2 linked regions of the Notamacropus eugenii genome follow. The protein of the gene in region 1 interacts with the protein of each later gene in a pairwise test. Links are inferred from orthologs where the notes say so. Each region holds a gene or a part of one and is shown on either strand. Other genes may lie near its edges.

Region 1 (7,884 bases):
ATTAATCAGTGGAATAGGAAATTCTTAATGATTTTCCACATCAAAGTGAAATCCGCAATTTTTTTTGTTGAAGAGACTAATAAACTAAAACAGACCAATATTTAATCCATTAAGAATTTCTGCACTGTAATATGTTTTGATGTGTCCGGCTGACACGTTATTAAATATAAAACGCTCAATTATATTTGAGGTTTTATTTAATGGATTAGTATTAAAAAAATTATTGAATTAGCTTTTTTATCATCCTTGTTATTAGGTCTGTCTTACAGCAGGAACTACAGTGGCTGATAAAACACAGGTAGCGGAGCTCTCTTAAAGATCTTTCAAACAGCTTTCTCTGTTTCAAACAAATTTCCTTTGGAACTTCCAGATCCTCTACTCTTTTCACTTTTCCAAGAGAGAAGTGCCTGCTTCCCTCACCACAATGGCAAAGTACACTCAGTGTCCAAAAAGGTTAGTGCACAAGAAATACCAATTAAGAAAAACACATGACAAAAAATAAAAAATTATCTTTCATATTTTAAAAAATATAAAACTTCACTAGTCTGAGGGCTGTAAAAATCAGATACTTCAAAGTTCTTATGCAAAAAAAGTTTTTTCTAACTAGGACTTTCTACTTACATGATGAGATAAATTATATAAACTAGTTAAAATACATTAAAGTTTACAGAGTATCAAAAATTCAACTCACTAACTCCAAAATAAAAATGAGTACTTGTTTAAAACCAAGTCAAAGTGATTGCTGTGACACTGTGTAGACAGAGACTGAAACAGTAGCTATAGAAATGGAACTGAAAAGTCACTAAATATAAATCGTGGAGTTTGAACCAATATCGTCATTAACGTATCACAAATGACCCCTTTTCTCCTCCCATTCAAATATACTGTGGTCACAGCTATAACAGGGACAAATGAAGAAAAGGTGAAACATTTTAAAATACTAAAACCAACCCTTCACGGTCTTGACGTCTGCCCAACTATATTTGCCTCTTCAAAAACCGTATTTCATAACAAAATAAACAGCACAGAATGACTTATAAAGGCATGAAGCTCTTCTCCCTAAGAATAAAGACACAAATTGCCAGGGCTGGTCATATTTAGAATTTTATCTTAATTTGAAAGGAAATCAATTTACGAAAATGCCTTTTCATTCTGACCACCTGAAGCATGAAGCGTAATCAGCTTAACCATAAAACAAACCTCAGACAACTATCATTTTGCTAGAACGGGTTACATGAGAGGAAGACAGTGACATCTCCACCATATTTTGAGGGGCATTTTACCCTACTACTTTGTGAGTAGTTTTAAGTCACGTAATTAACTTGGTAAACAAAGACTTGCCTGATCCCATGAAACAAAACTTCAAATGTACGTATTTCACTTAGACTGAAAGCAGTCAATGGCAAAGGGCTCAGAGACCTCCCTAAAATATGAGGCAAGCTCACACACATGAAACCCAAGCCCTCAGCTTCGCCCCCACGGTATCGCTCAGAGCAAAGCCGCAGCCTTCACACCCCACTTCGGTCTGAGATGCAGAGAGGTGCGCAAGGCTGTCCACTCCGACCATTCAGTCAAACATCAGCTTTCCTCTGACGAACCGTGTGCGGTTCGGTACCATGACTTCGAGCCTGGGGAAGGCAAAGCTCCACGTTATCTCTGCATCGCCCAGGGTCTCTCCTTATTTGGCTAACACTGAGAGATCCCGATCGGACTCCACTATAAAACTTTAACATGCACAAAGCATCCATTTTGAGCAAAGTTCCCAGTTTCCTTCTCCCCACCTGGCCTCGAGACGTGCACCCCGAGACGATCTCCGACCCCCCCCCCCCACTCCAGAACAGTTCCATGTCACCGATGGGCGAGTTTCGCTACAGCCGGCCCTAGAGGGGAGAGCAGGGACGGAAGGTCCCAGGCACTGCGGCACAAAGCTCCGTAGCAGACTCCCCACTTCAACCTTCCGGCGGGGGATGGGGTGGGGGGAGCCCTTCACTGTCTCCCCCCCACCCCCTCCACGTCCAGCCCTACAAGGAGAAGTGCGGCGCCAGAGTCAGGGAGGGGGACCGGCAGGAAATCGCCCCGAGGCCCGCGGGGATCCGGTCCCCCAAGTCCCCGGGCGGCCCCCCTCCCCCACACAGTATTGGGGGGCAGAAGGGTTTCTGGGCACGTAGTAGGCGCTTCTGCAGCGCTCCCGCACCGACTACTCCCCCAGTCTCACAGATCCCTAAATGCCCCCCCTTTACACACCGACGAGGGATCTCCAAGCACGCTCGCCCTGCAGCTTACAAGGCAACACACAGTAGGCGCTTAATAAGTGCTGGAGGGCTCGGCCGGGCTGTCCACGTCGGCTGGCGAAGAGAAGAGGGATCCCCCAGCGCTGGCCCATCACCCCCTCTTTCCTCTCCACTCCCACGCCTCGGACCCACCCCGCGCCGTCCTTCCCGTCCGTCCTAGGTCTCTCCCCGGGGAGGTCGCAGGCCCGGGCAGGCGGGCCGGCCGGGGGGGAGGGGACGGGGCTCCGGGCCTCGGCGCTCGGACAGACCTGGTGCAGGGCAGTGAGTCCGTCCACATTGGCGTAGTTGATGTCGGCGCCGCGGTGCAGCAGCTCGAGCACCTCGTCCGTGTCCCCGCTGGAGCAGGCCGCCAGGAACACGGCGCCGTCGTCGAACTTCACCTTGGTCTTCTGGCGCTTCACCACGGGCGGCTCGAGGTCCGTCTCGGAGCCGATCCAGCGCTTCAGCTGCTCGTTCCGCTTCTGCTTCGCGTCCGCCATCTTCATCCCCCCCTCTCCGGCCGCCGGGTCTTCTTATCGCGAGGGGAGGAGGGAGGGAGGGAGGGGGGAGAGGTGGAGGGGGGGAGCGGGCGCGGGGGCGCGCGCCGGAGCGACGAGGAGGAGGAGGAGGAGGAGGAGGGTGTGGGGAGGCAGGGAGGAGACGGGAGGAGGAGACGACTTCCGGTCTCCCACAGAGCACTGGGGCGGCGCGCACCTGGCGGGCGGACCGAGCCGGGACACAAACACTCTTTCCCTCCCCGCCCCCGCCCCCGCCCCCGCCCCTCTCAGGGCAGGCCGCTACCCGTCACCAGCCGCCTCCCGTAGGGAGACATCGCGAGAGTTGAGCGGGGAGGCGCCCTTCGCCCACTGCGCATGCTCTGTCTGCCTGCCTCCCCACACGGAGGAGGAGGAGGAGGAGGAGGAAGAGAAGGGTAACCGCCGAGAGCGGGCGCGGTGGTTTTCGGAGGGGAAGAGGGTGGGGCCTCGAGAGCCTCCGGAACCGGAGGAAGGGAAGGGGCGGGGACTGTCTTTGTGGGCCAAGGTGGGGTCGGATTGACTGTGAGCCGTCGCCCGTCGGGGACTGTGCGGAGACATCTCAATCCAAGACCTGGGTCTGATGTCGGGAAGACGCAGGTTCGAATCCTGCCTCGGACCCTCCCTGACTGACCCTGGCCCACCCATCTAATCGGCCTCAGTTTCCTCGTCTGTAAAACGGGGATAATGCCCACTTTCGCGGGGGCAGGAAGGACAAAATAACCCAACCTTTCTGTGCCTCAGTTTCCCCATCTGTAAAATGGGGGTAATTAGAGCACCTCCCTCCCAGGATTGTTTTTCTGGATCAAATGAGCTAACGCAGGTAAAATAACTTTAAGGCAAATTAGAAATGCTAGCTAGCAGTTGTTCTTAGAGAAAGAAAGACCTGGGTGTTTTAATAACAGCCTCCCCAAGCCGTAAGGATCAGAAAAGTCCATTTTACATAAAGTACTTTGCAAACCTTTAATCGATATTTCAATTTTGGATGTTGTCATTCTTATAGTGGAAGACCTAGGCTCAGATACCATAGCTGACCATCCCTAACTGTGGGACCCTGGGCCAGTCATTTAACTTCACAGTTCCTCAGTTACCTCATCTGTAAAATGGGGGGGGGGGGGGAGCTGGATGACCTCTCAGGTTCCTTCCAGCTCCAAATCTGTGGTTACTGTGATCCCTCACTGTAACTATTTATAAAGCACATTTCAGTTTACAAGGTCATGCCTCTGTGATATATGGAGTGTATTTCAGAGGGATAGTCTCAGAGCTTGACTGTAATCCTGGTATTTATACTTCAAGGTCTATATAGGTGCTGGCATCCATGATCTCATTTGGTTCTAATGTAGCAAGCCTGTGCAGGATGTACAGGTATTATCCTTCCACTTTGCAGATGAGGAAACTGAGGCCCAGAGAGGTTAAAGTGACTTGACTTAGTCACACAGCTAGAAAGTATCAGAGGTGAGTCTCTGGAGTTGCTCATTTAGGGCCTTTTTTTTTCTTTTTTTTTTCCTAATACTATGCCTCCAACTTGAAGTAAAATATATTGTTCCTTCTCAACTTATCAGGGCATGATCAAGATTATTTGATCTAGAACTATAAGATCATTTAGAGGCCATCTAGTGCAACCTTCTCATTTAATAGATGAGTTAGGCCTAAGGAAATAAAGTCAATTGGCTAAGATTTCAGAGGTGAGATTAAAACCAGGGCTTTTGACTCCTCAGCCCAGTGGTCTGGCCACTGAAACAAATGAGGACTAGATGACGCCATGGGCCCCCGTATAGCTTTGTATCTATAGCTATCTCACCTATTTCAGTCAATCAGTAAACATTCATTAAGTGCTATGTGTCATGCATTGTGCTAAATAAGCACTGGTTTCAATTCCACAAGCATTTATTGAGAGGTATTGTACCTTGGTAGGTACAATAATTGGTACCTTGGTAGGTACAAGAACCTTAATTCTGAAAGACCTGGGTTCAACTTGTCCTCCTTTGACTTAACAGGCTCTTTTTACCCTAGGAAAGTCACAACCCTCAGTGCCCCTAGGCAACTTAAATTACTGAATTGATGCTGATTTACACTGGTAAGAGTTTCTTCTTCAGGAGAAATCACAAGTCCCACCCCACCAAAAACATTATGCCTTTTATTTACTTGACGTTGTGAACCCTACCCTCAAAGAGGGAGAAATATAGGTAATTAAAAACGGAGAACTGATACAAAACAAATAAAAAATTGGGCTGAGATTAACAATTGTGGGAGGTAATAATAAGGAAGTATTCACATTCTGAATAAACTTTCTAATGTAAGGCAGCAGGTAAGTCAAATAAAGGAAGCAACTAGGTGACTCAGCTGGGCCTAGAGTCTGGAAGACCTGTGTTCAAATCCAGCCTCATACTGGCTGTGTGACTTTGGGCAAGCCACTTAACCTCCCTTTGCCTTAGTCCGCTGGAGAAGAAAATGGCAAACCTCTCCAGTATCTTTGCCAGGAAAATCCCAAATGGGGTCAGGATGAATAGGACATAAGTGAACAAGGTTGGATAATCCTAAATCTCAAGTGCAGGTGCTTTGTCACTAGTAATACCCAGTAGTGGTCCTCTCCTAATCATGCTAGACCAGCGATAAAGAAGACTACTGAACCTTGACATAGGAAAATGCAAATTCCTATCTTGTCACTGAAACAGTAAGACCATGGAGCTATGACAATGAAGTGAGATAATGTGCGTAAAGCATTTTGAAATTATTATTTCTCCCCACTGCATTTTATAGACTCTCAGAGTTGGATCTGAGGGATAATTTTGTCTTATCCACATTTAAAATCCTTTATTTTTCTTGCATAATTAATATCATATATGGGTCTTTATGACATACAGAAACATGTACTTTATCTCATATGCAGTAGCATCATGTAGACCTGGGATCAACTCCAGCCTCTGATACACACTTTGTAATCCTGGGCAAATCACTGGACCTCTCAGTATTCTAGGCAACTCTCTGAGACTACAAGAGGCAGAGAAGGTAACAATGTGCTTGAGTCATGGGAACTTGCGCAGATGGGGAAAATGAGGCATGTGAGACACAGACTCTCCCAGAATCTGTCCCATGATCTTACGTGTAGAAAACTGCAGAACCAAGATTCTAATCCAGTTCTGAGTGTGGTATAGAGGAAAGCATGATGGATTTGGAGTCACAGGACTTGGGGTCTGCTCTCAGCTCTGCCACTTGTTCCATTTGTGACTTTAGGAAAGCCATTTAAACTCCCTGGACTTCAGTTTCCTCTTCTGCCAAATGAAGGGGTTAGATTCCAGCTTTCAAACTATGACTAGAAGCGCAGATCTAGTGTTCTTAGCACAGCACTGTTTTGTGCCCCCTTTATATGTTCCTTTGCTCTTTAAGTAACCTGGTGCAATTTGTTGCTGAAGTAACAAGTTTAAGGAGAATTCAGCGTCTTTTGTATGCCTCCACCACCTAGTAGGGCAATGTACATACTTAATATTACATATTTAATTTTAAAAAACTATGTTACTACAATAATACAAATCCTTAATCAAAATTTTTTCTCATGTTTAGAGTTAGCACCACAAAGCAGTAAAAGGGTCCCTAAAGGCCATGCCTAGGACATCTGCCATACCTTTGAAAGGTCTCAGCTCTCGATTATGGAAAGCAATTGGAAAAAATCCTTTCTTGTCAGCTACTGTTTTCTCCACCCCCCAAGAAACCCAATCAGAATAACCCAGAGAAGAACCAAGGGTCACCATTTAGCCTTAGATAGCTGTTTTCCAAGAATATTTGGGTCTATTTGATAGCTCTTATAAAAGCCTTGAAAAATAGCCCCAAATACCTGTTTTGGGAACAGAGACAAGATAAAGAGGTGGCCATGCCTTGTTTTTGACTGTTGCTACAAGATGTAAAATAATTCATAGTCGAGATGAAATACTTATACAATAGTAAGAGCACTACAGAAAGAACCAGAGGCTTAAGTTTGAGTCCTGCTTCCAGGTCCAACTTTTGAGTACAACTTCCTAGTAGTGTCATTGTGGTTTGTCACTTAGTCACTCAAAAAAAAATCATTCAGCCTTATTTTCCTCATCTATTAAATGGGATAATAATTCTTTTATATAGCTAGTAGTCTTGTAAGAAAAGTCATTTTCAAACTTTAAGGCCTTATAAATATGAGTAACAAAATATAAACTACAGTGAACCTACTTTTGAGGACTACCTGTCAAAAGACAACTGTGGACAATACATACACAGGTTTGGGTTTACCTAGATTTTTCTTTCTCTTAATCTCAGTTTCAGAATGTATTCCATGATAACCCAGTGTTAATACTGATGGAACCATAAGTTATTATTACTAAAAGAAATTTGCTTCATTAATACATAATACATTAAAAGATAGCTAATTCGACAGCGATGAAGAGAAAAAACTTAATTATGATTCCTTTATAGCACTTAGACCTGGAAAAGACCTTGAAAATTGCTACGTAGTTCAACTCTTTTTACAAATAGCTTGTTTGGGCCTTTGTTTCCTTAAGAAACTGCCCTAAATCACAGTTAGTATCAGAATCAGAATTAATCCCATGTCTTCATATTTCAAACACTTTATTGTATGGTACTGTATGCTTTTATGTAGCATGCCTAAGTTCTAGCCCAACTCTCTCAGTCCTCACCCAAATAGGTAGGTAAGTTCTCTAAACCAAGAATATTATTCCTTTCAGGGTTAAAATCCTGAAGAGTTGGAGGGTAATTTTTCTGTAATAATGTTTGTTCATGAGCCTTCATCCGGTAATTTCTCCCCAATATTAATTACCAGTGATTATTGTCCCAATATCTTTTAGACCAGTTAGTATCTTCTCTTTATCATCAGAAATTAACCAATTAAAATCAGTTAGTTTTTATAAAGGAAAATTTGCTGAGAAGTTCTATAGTAAGTACCAAAATACAACAACCTCTGAAAACAGAAAGCCCACTCTTCTACATACCACCTTGATTGCTGAGGAGAGTGGACTCAAAGTGGCTACCAATCACTGTCCTCATCAAGTTCACTTCTGTTCATGGCATAACCACATGCACTGACTGATTCCGAGTGT
Region 2 (7,222 bases), about 50 Mb from region 1:
GCCACCCACTAGCTGGGCAGTCTTGGACAAATCTTCTCCTTTCTCTGTGACTAAGTTTCTCCCTCTGTAAAATGAGGGGGTTGGACTTGACATGTCTGAAATCTCCAGGACCAGCTCAGCAAAGCATCATGAGCAGATTTATCCCCTAAATTCATGCTCATCAGCACCCCAGGCTCGACTCCTAGAGCATGGATTTTTTCCAAGCAACCCCCTCCCAAGATCATCTTCTAAATTGTGGAAGTATTATAATCTGCTTCACTGAGAGGAGAGAAATCAGAGCTTCTTGGAGCCCTGGTGGTTACAGGTGTTCCTGATCTAGTACTACAATGCTTTCCATGGCTCCCTATGGCCTTGGTGGAGGGAGGGGATACAAACTCTTCCACTCAGTGCCAGAAGCAATCTGGCTCTAGTCTACCTTTCCAGGTTTACTTCATATCACTCCTAATTGCACACACCCTGGGGACACAGGAGATACAGGGTGGAGGCCTGATGGGGGGGAGATTTGAATTCAAATCTAGCCTGACACTTCCTAGCTGTGTGACCCTGGACATTTCACCTCTCCCTTACTCAGTTTCTTCATCTGTCAAATGTGGATAATAACAGCACAGGGCTGTGGTGAGGATCAGATGGATGATATTCATAAAGTGCTTTGCAAACCTTATAGTGCTATATAAATGGTAGCTGCTATCATCATCACCTTCATCATCTGCCTTATTTGCTGTTTGCAAATACGACAATCCAGTCCCTGCCTCCACATCCCTTCCCATGCTTGGAATCCTCAGTGCCTCCTCCTTCAGGAAGCCTCTCTTGATCTGCCTGGTCATTAGTGCTTTCTCCCCCTATAGATCACCTCTTTACTTCTCTGTGTTCACTTTGTCTCTCCTGAGAGAATGGAAGCATGCCCTACTTCTATTTTGTTGTATCCCCAGCACCTAGGACAGTGCTGCGTACACAGTAGGGCACAGGTTGAATAGGATGGTAAGAATCCTTGACCAGTCAGGATCTCATGGTTTCTCTAAATCTGGCCCAGGCACAAGGGTGCACCCCTCCCACAGGACCTGTGCCCAAGTCATCATGCCAGGGAAATGGCAATGTGCCATGTGATGTGGGCAATCTATATTCAGTCTGTCCCATTGCCAGTGCCCCTCCCCCCCATTAATTGGTTTATCGTTTGCACTTACTTCTGTGCAATTGTTGTTTGTTTTTGTTTTTGTTTTTGCCATAGATTTTAAGTTCCTTAAGGCCAGGGGCTGTTTCTTTCTTATCTCTGTATCCCCTGGGTTTCATGCCTGGAACACAGATGCTGGTTGAAGAATGATTTGGGCTTGATCCCTTGCTCTATCCCTCACTTCCTTGCAGCCTGGGTGACCCTCTCTGGGCCTCAGTTTCCTCATCTGTAAAAGGAAGGGGTTGGATTAGATGAACTGGCATGTCCAACATGCTGAGAAGTTAGGCACATGAATCACTCTGTCCCACTTAACTCAGTGGAACCTGCCAAACCTGCAGAGAGGGGCTGAGAAGGGCTTTTGTTTCAGTCAATTAATCACAGGCTTTGGGCCAAGGGAGAAAACCATGGAACAGGAGTGCCAGCTGTGCCCTTAGGGGTCATCTGTAAGACTCATCTTAAGTGATGTGATTGCAAAGGAGGATCCATTTGGGGGGAGGAGGGGCCTTGGATCTGACCTCAGCTGAGGTCTTCCTCCCTTCCCTGTCGGATGGAGGGCCTGGTGAGCTTTGAAGGGCCGGTGTGGGATTTGCAAGGCAGATTCCTAACTCTGCAAAGAGCCCAGCAGAGAAGCCCCTTACCTAAGGGGAGCCTGTGAGCACCCCACAAACGGGAGAAAAGTCCCATAGGCGAGTGTGCTCCCTACTTTCCCCTTGGACTCTGTGTGGGCTGCTGGGAAAGTGTCACACTTGGGATTGGGGATGTCTCATACCAGCCCTTCTTATCGTACCAGGGTAAATGGCCCTTTCTACAAACGAATAGTCTGGCTGACACATAATCAAGACAGGAAGCACACTGGTCCGGTCTTGAGTCATAGCACTAGAAAATCTGCTCTCCTAGAACCTTGCTGGGACTTGGCAACAAAGCTCTGGGGCTCTGACTTGTCAGACAGACTGAAGGTTGGGGAGTAATCCCAAAGCAGGAGCTCCCCACCAATACCACTTTTAAACTAAGGGAGTCCTCACCGCCAGTCCCAGCCCAGAGGAGAGGCTGCCAGCAGCCAGTCCCAGGCGGGGAAGTTTTCTCAGGGGTAACGAGTCAAGGGGTGTGTGTGATGGGGGCAGGCTGAAGAAGGCAGCGAGAGACGAATGTAGTTTGGGAGGATTTGGCAGAGAGGAGGGGAAGATAGGAAGCATTCCAGGTGTCAGGAAAGGTATGTGGGCTTTAGCTCCAGGCAGACGAGGGAGAAGCAGGGCCCGTCTGGCTGCAGAATCGGGACCAGGAATGTCTCTGCCAGTAGCAACAGACCCTTCCCCACCCCTGGCCCTCTCTCTGTCTTCCTTTTTCCAGCCAGGTCACGCTCCTGGGGCTCTCGGGCCTCTGAAAGGAGAGGGAGAGAAAAGCAGCCTCGGCTTTGGTCATGTCGGTCGATGCCGATTCCGCCCTCCAGAGCCCGGAGATTCTGGGGGGGTCATTGTGTCCCGGGAAATGGCAGCCCGGAGACGGAAGGGAAGTGGGCCAAGGTCTCATAGTTGGCGAGCAGCAGATCTGACTGGAGATGCGCGTCTTTCCAGCTAGCCCTCCACTCGATATCCAAAACCCAAACCCAACCACAGCAACGTGCGAGATTTCGCCCTTGGGGAGCCTGGTAGAGTACCCCACCCCACCCCCCACCCCGGTCCCCCCGCCTTCAGGTAGCTCACTTCCGAGTAGGGACACAAGACACAAACACAGTACGTCGGACTTGAAGATTGTTTTTTTCTCAATTACATGTAAGAACAATTCTTAACTTTTTTTGAAATTTGAGTTCCAAATTCCCTCCCCCCTCCTCGAGAAGCTAAGTAATTAGCTATAGATTACACTTCGGGGTACACAGCGCGGGAGGGCATAGAAAAAGTGAGGTAGGAGAGGACGCCTTTCCATTTCTGAGGGAGGGCTGGCTTTTTCAGCCAAGACCGTCCTTCCCACCTTCTCAGGCTCTCCGGGGTCCCACGTATCGCTCCTTCTTTTTCAGTCTCTTTCATCTCACTCTTTTTTTCCTGCCTAAAAAATGCCCCTGCCTTTTAACCACCGGGGAGTACCTAACGTGGCCATCTGCCCGCCCCTTTTTAGTGGTTCAGGGGGGTTCTCAGAGCCTGTACTCTATCTGTGGAAGCCCAGGTAAGGCCATGCTGCGCTCCTCCTGGGCTGGGGGCTTCACCCATCCGCGGGGCTGCTCAGAAAGCATTCTGCTTTCTCTGGGGCTCCCAGAGTCATGGCATCCCGAGCCCCCAGCTCTGTCCTTGTGGGCCGCAACTACTTCCTCGTTAGAGGGTAATGTGACCAGTGTGGCTTAATTAGAATCCCCTTACTTGTTTTCAGTCAATGGACCCCCTAACAGGTGAACGTGCCAAAAATGCACGCCTCCCGCGGTGAAAATCTTTCTTCGTGATCCACAGAAAACCCGAAAGGAATGAAATAAATACATGTTAAAAAAGAACTAAAAAGTGATGAATTTGGCAGGCTCTGGTGGAAAGAGCTCTGGTTCTGTCAGGGGAAGGGGGCGCTGGATCAGGCCCTTCTGAAGTCCCTTCTCCCTCGGAAGACATGCCGCCAGGACGTGCCCCAGACCTCAGGCTCTGCATGTGCAGGTGCCCTCAAGGTTGGACCTCGCACCCATCGCCTCCTGCCAGGGGGAGGCTCCCGGAGCCTGTTCACAGCCACAGCATCCCCAGCACCGCCAGCCCTGCTCTCACCGTCCTGTGGCTGGGCCTCTGGAGAAGGTACTGGTAGAGTCCAGGGCAGGGGACACACCTCGCCCACTCCCTTGAGGCTTCCATGCCCCCCGGAGCTGACCCAGGTGCCTGGGGAAACGCCGCGCCAGAGACTGGGCGGGGCTGGACACCCACTGTGTCCCCGGGGGGAGGGACTCCTGGAACTCAACACTCTGGGGATTGGGCGCTCAGGCCTTTGGGGCGGAGCCTAAACTCAGGGGAGTGTAGGGGACGGGGCCGAGGGGACGATTGGCTGCGGCTCGCGAGGCTGAAAGGCGGGACGGGAAGTGGAGGCCGCCGAAGATTGGCGGCGGAGACGTTGAGGGCAGGATTGGAGTCGGGAAGGAGGCGGTGGAGGAGGAAAGAGACACCCGATTGGGGGAAAAGGCGTTGGGGGCGGAACTCGAGCCTCCGAGAGGCGGGCTTGGGGGAGGCAGGGCGCAGTGGATTGGAGAGAAGGCCGTTGTGGGGCGGTTTCCTGAGCGCAGGGCCCGCCCCCTCGCGGAAGATGGCGGCTCTCCGGGAGAGCTTGTATCTTGAGGGCTTCAGCTCTGGGCCGATGGAGGCGGCGCTGGCGGCACTGGAGGCCGACGACGAGCCGGGCAGGCGGCTGGAGCGGTTGCGGGAGATTATAGTGCTGCTCCGGGAGCAGCAACACCGGTAACGGAGGGGCCGACGGGAGGAGAAACTGAGGCAGGGACCCTCGGGGACGGGGAGGGGGAGGGGCGCAGCGACCCGGAGCCAGGAACTAAGAGAGACAGAGGCCCTCCCCTGGAGATGGCCCCTCCCCCTCTACCTCCCCTGCGCTCAGGCCCCTCCTTCTCTGACATCCCCGGCTCCGACGTTTCTTGGGTTGACTGGAATGACACTGAGATCACTGGAACGTGCCGGCACTTGTTATCTCATTAACTGCCCCTCTAGAGTTCTTGGGGTGAGGCTGCCCGGCTGCCCCTGGGCCCTGGCTCCCTTCTTACTGTTGCAGCCGGTGCCCTCCCAGCCCTCTGAATGGGCGCCACATCTCTCCGAGCTGCTTCTGCCTCGGTGCATGGGCCTGACCACAGCGGTAGGGGCTAGAGCTTCGCCTTCACTGAAGGGCTGGCAGGCTTAGCAGGTGCCGGGCGCCAGTAGGCCTGTGGGAACGTTCTCTTCCTCCCATCCCCCTTAGCACCTTGTCTCCAACTCTCTGCCCTGGCCCCTCAAACGTTAGGTGGCGTGCCCCGTGTAGACTCCTGTTTGGTTGTAGCTGAATGATCGATTTTATTCCCATGGGAATGGTTGGTTCTGTTTCATCAGTGATCTTACTGGCTTGATCAGATTCTTTAAAATAAATTTTTATTCATTTAGATTGTTAATACCCAAACCCAAAGCCCTGTCCCTCCTAGTTGAGTACAGAATCCTGGCATAATCGACCTGGAACTAAATTAAACACAACCAGGATTCTCTGGCTACTAGCAGTGCATCCCCAGCCCATGGCCTTGGGGGTGGGCATGCAGACGTGAATGGGGCAACTCCTGCCTTCTATGCTATTGCAATCCATCCAGGGGAACAACACCCCCACACACCTATCTAACCTATCTAAAGGTTATTTCAAGGTGATCTGGAGAGGAGGGTGAAGAGAAGGTGCTAGCTGGGCTTGGTGTGTGCAGAGTGCAAGGTGGGGCTTCAGAGGAAACCAGAGATTCTGAGAAGGGGATGAGAGGTGGTGCTTTCTAGGAATGGGACATGGACCCTGCAAAGACACTGAGATGGTGATTTGGGTGGTTTGTGTGAGCAGGAGCCAGAAGGTCATCGAATAAGCAAGTGATTGTGATGTGTGAGAAAGGTGAGAAAGCCAATACACTACCTCCCAAGGCAGCCCCTTCTACTGTGGCATAACTAAGAGTTAGGGAATTTTTCCTCATGTGGATGGATTGATAGATGATAGATGGATGGATGTATAGATGGGATGCATATAGAGGGATACATGATGAATGGATGGATGGATAGATGGATAGATGGATGGGTGAATAGACAGATGGATGAATGAATAAACAGATGGGTGGATAGACATAGGATAGGGGATGGATGGATGGATGGATGGATTGAAGGATGGATGGTTGGAGAGAGAGAACATTTATTCATTGCTCTTGGTAGGCTGGGCCCTGCTCTGCCAGCCAACAGACTTGCCTCTCTGTTTCCAGCATGGGCTCTAAGTTCTGCCCTCTGGGCTTGGGCAGAACCATTGTCGTTCCTTTTTAGTTACTTGAAGACAGCTGTTGTGGGCTGCTTCACCTCCTTCCTCTAAGCTACACATCCCTGTCCTGGCGCAGCTCTCATGACCTGCTCCAGCAGGCTTGATGTGGGAGAGTGTTGGGAGGGTAGAGACAGCCTGGGTGTGGGGTGGCATCTTGGCCTTGGGTGGCCTGTGGGAGGGATCTTCTGCTGCCTAATGGGGCACCTAGGGGATGAAGGGACAAGATATACCACCTCTATCCAGTGGGGGTCTTGAGTCCAAGGGTGTCACTGCCCAGGGTGACTCTGGCAGAGGTGGGGAGGGGGTATGGGTAGATCCTGCTAAGACACATACCTCTACACCCCCTGCCCCCCATACGCATTCATACACATATTCCACAAACACACCCATATATACACTCATAGTCATGAACACACACACACATTCCCACTCACATGTACTCACACCTGCACATACACATTCACACTCAGTAGCTGCCTTCTCCCTTCCCTCTATTGTGTCCTTGGTGAAGGATATCTTCACTCCCTTATTTCCATCTGCCTCTTCTCCTACTTGGTTCCTCTCCTTCATTGGGTTTGCCCCTCCTCCCTATGTTTGCAGGGGCGGCTTTTCACTTGTTTTTGAGTTTTGGGGTCCCCAGGAAACCCCCGATGTTTGCTGCCTGGGCTCCTCCCTCCATCGTGGGCAGCATCGTGTCTTCTCTCTCAGGTGGAGATTCCTCCTTTTATTAACTCTCCTGTGTCTCTGGGGCTCCTGGAACTGGTGTTTTCTTCCTGGTAAAACAATCTTCCACGTCAGTAAAATCATCCATAAGAAGAGATGAGGGAGAATTCTATGTGTTGTCTCCGGCGATCAGCATGCCGAGGGCCACAGGCCCTGTCCCTCATTTTCATCTCACCCAGACAGGCTCTTCTGTATTTCCTGGGCACCTGACTGAGTCTGGTGTGTGAAGGAGGGGTCATTGACTGAGACAGAGCCAGAAGAAAATGGAGATGAGATTGGGGGAGGCCACTGAGGCTTTGACACAGGAAATTTCAACTCCTTTAATTGAGTGGGTCTCCCTGCCCTTTT

Evidence for each region. The genes of interacting proteins can lie anywhere in the genome.
Region 2: the proteins of PPP1R12A (region 1) and ATXN10 interact in binary tests that used the Homo sapiens proteins (3 or more experiments, as listed by UniProt). The link is inferred for Notamacropus eugenii from reciprocal best matches to the Homo sapiens genes PPP1R12A and ATXN10.

Annotation. Positions count from the first base shown.
Region 1 is NC_092874.1:259,791,089-259,798,972, forward strand, and holds the start of PPP1R12A (protein phosphatase 1 regulatory subunit 12A), read right to left. Parts: upstream 3,053-7,884; 5' UTR 2,777-3,052; coding exon 2,540-2,776; intron 2,396-2,539; exon of another isoform or gene 2,245-2,395; intron 1-2,244. UniProt on the Homo sapiens protein: Key regulator of protein phosphatase 1C (PPP1C). Mediates binding to myosin. As part of the PPP1C complex, involved in dephosphorylation of PLK1. Capable of inhibiting HIF1AN-dependent suppression of HIF1A activity.
Region 2 is NC_092874.1:309,982,991-309,990,212, reverse strand, and holds the start of ATXN10 (ataxin-10), read left to right. Parts: upstream 1-4,171; 5' UTR 4,172-4,426; coding exon 4,427-4,578; intron 4,579-7,222. UniProt on the Homo sapiens protein: May play a role in the regulation of cytokinesis. May play a role in signaling by stimulating protein glycosylation. Induces neuritogenesis by activating the Ras-MAP kinase pathway and is necessary for the survival of cerebellar neurons.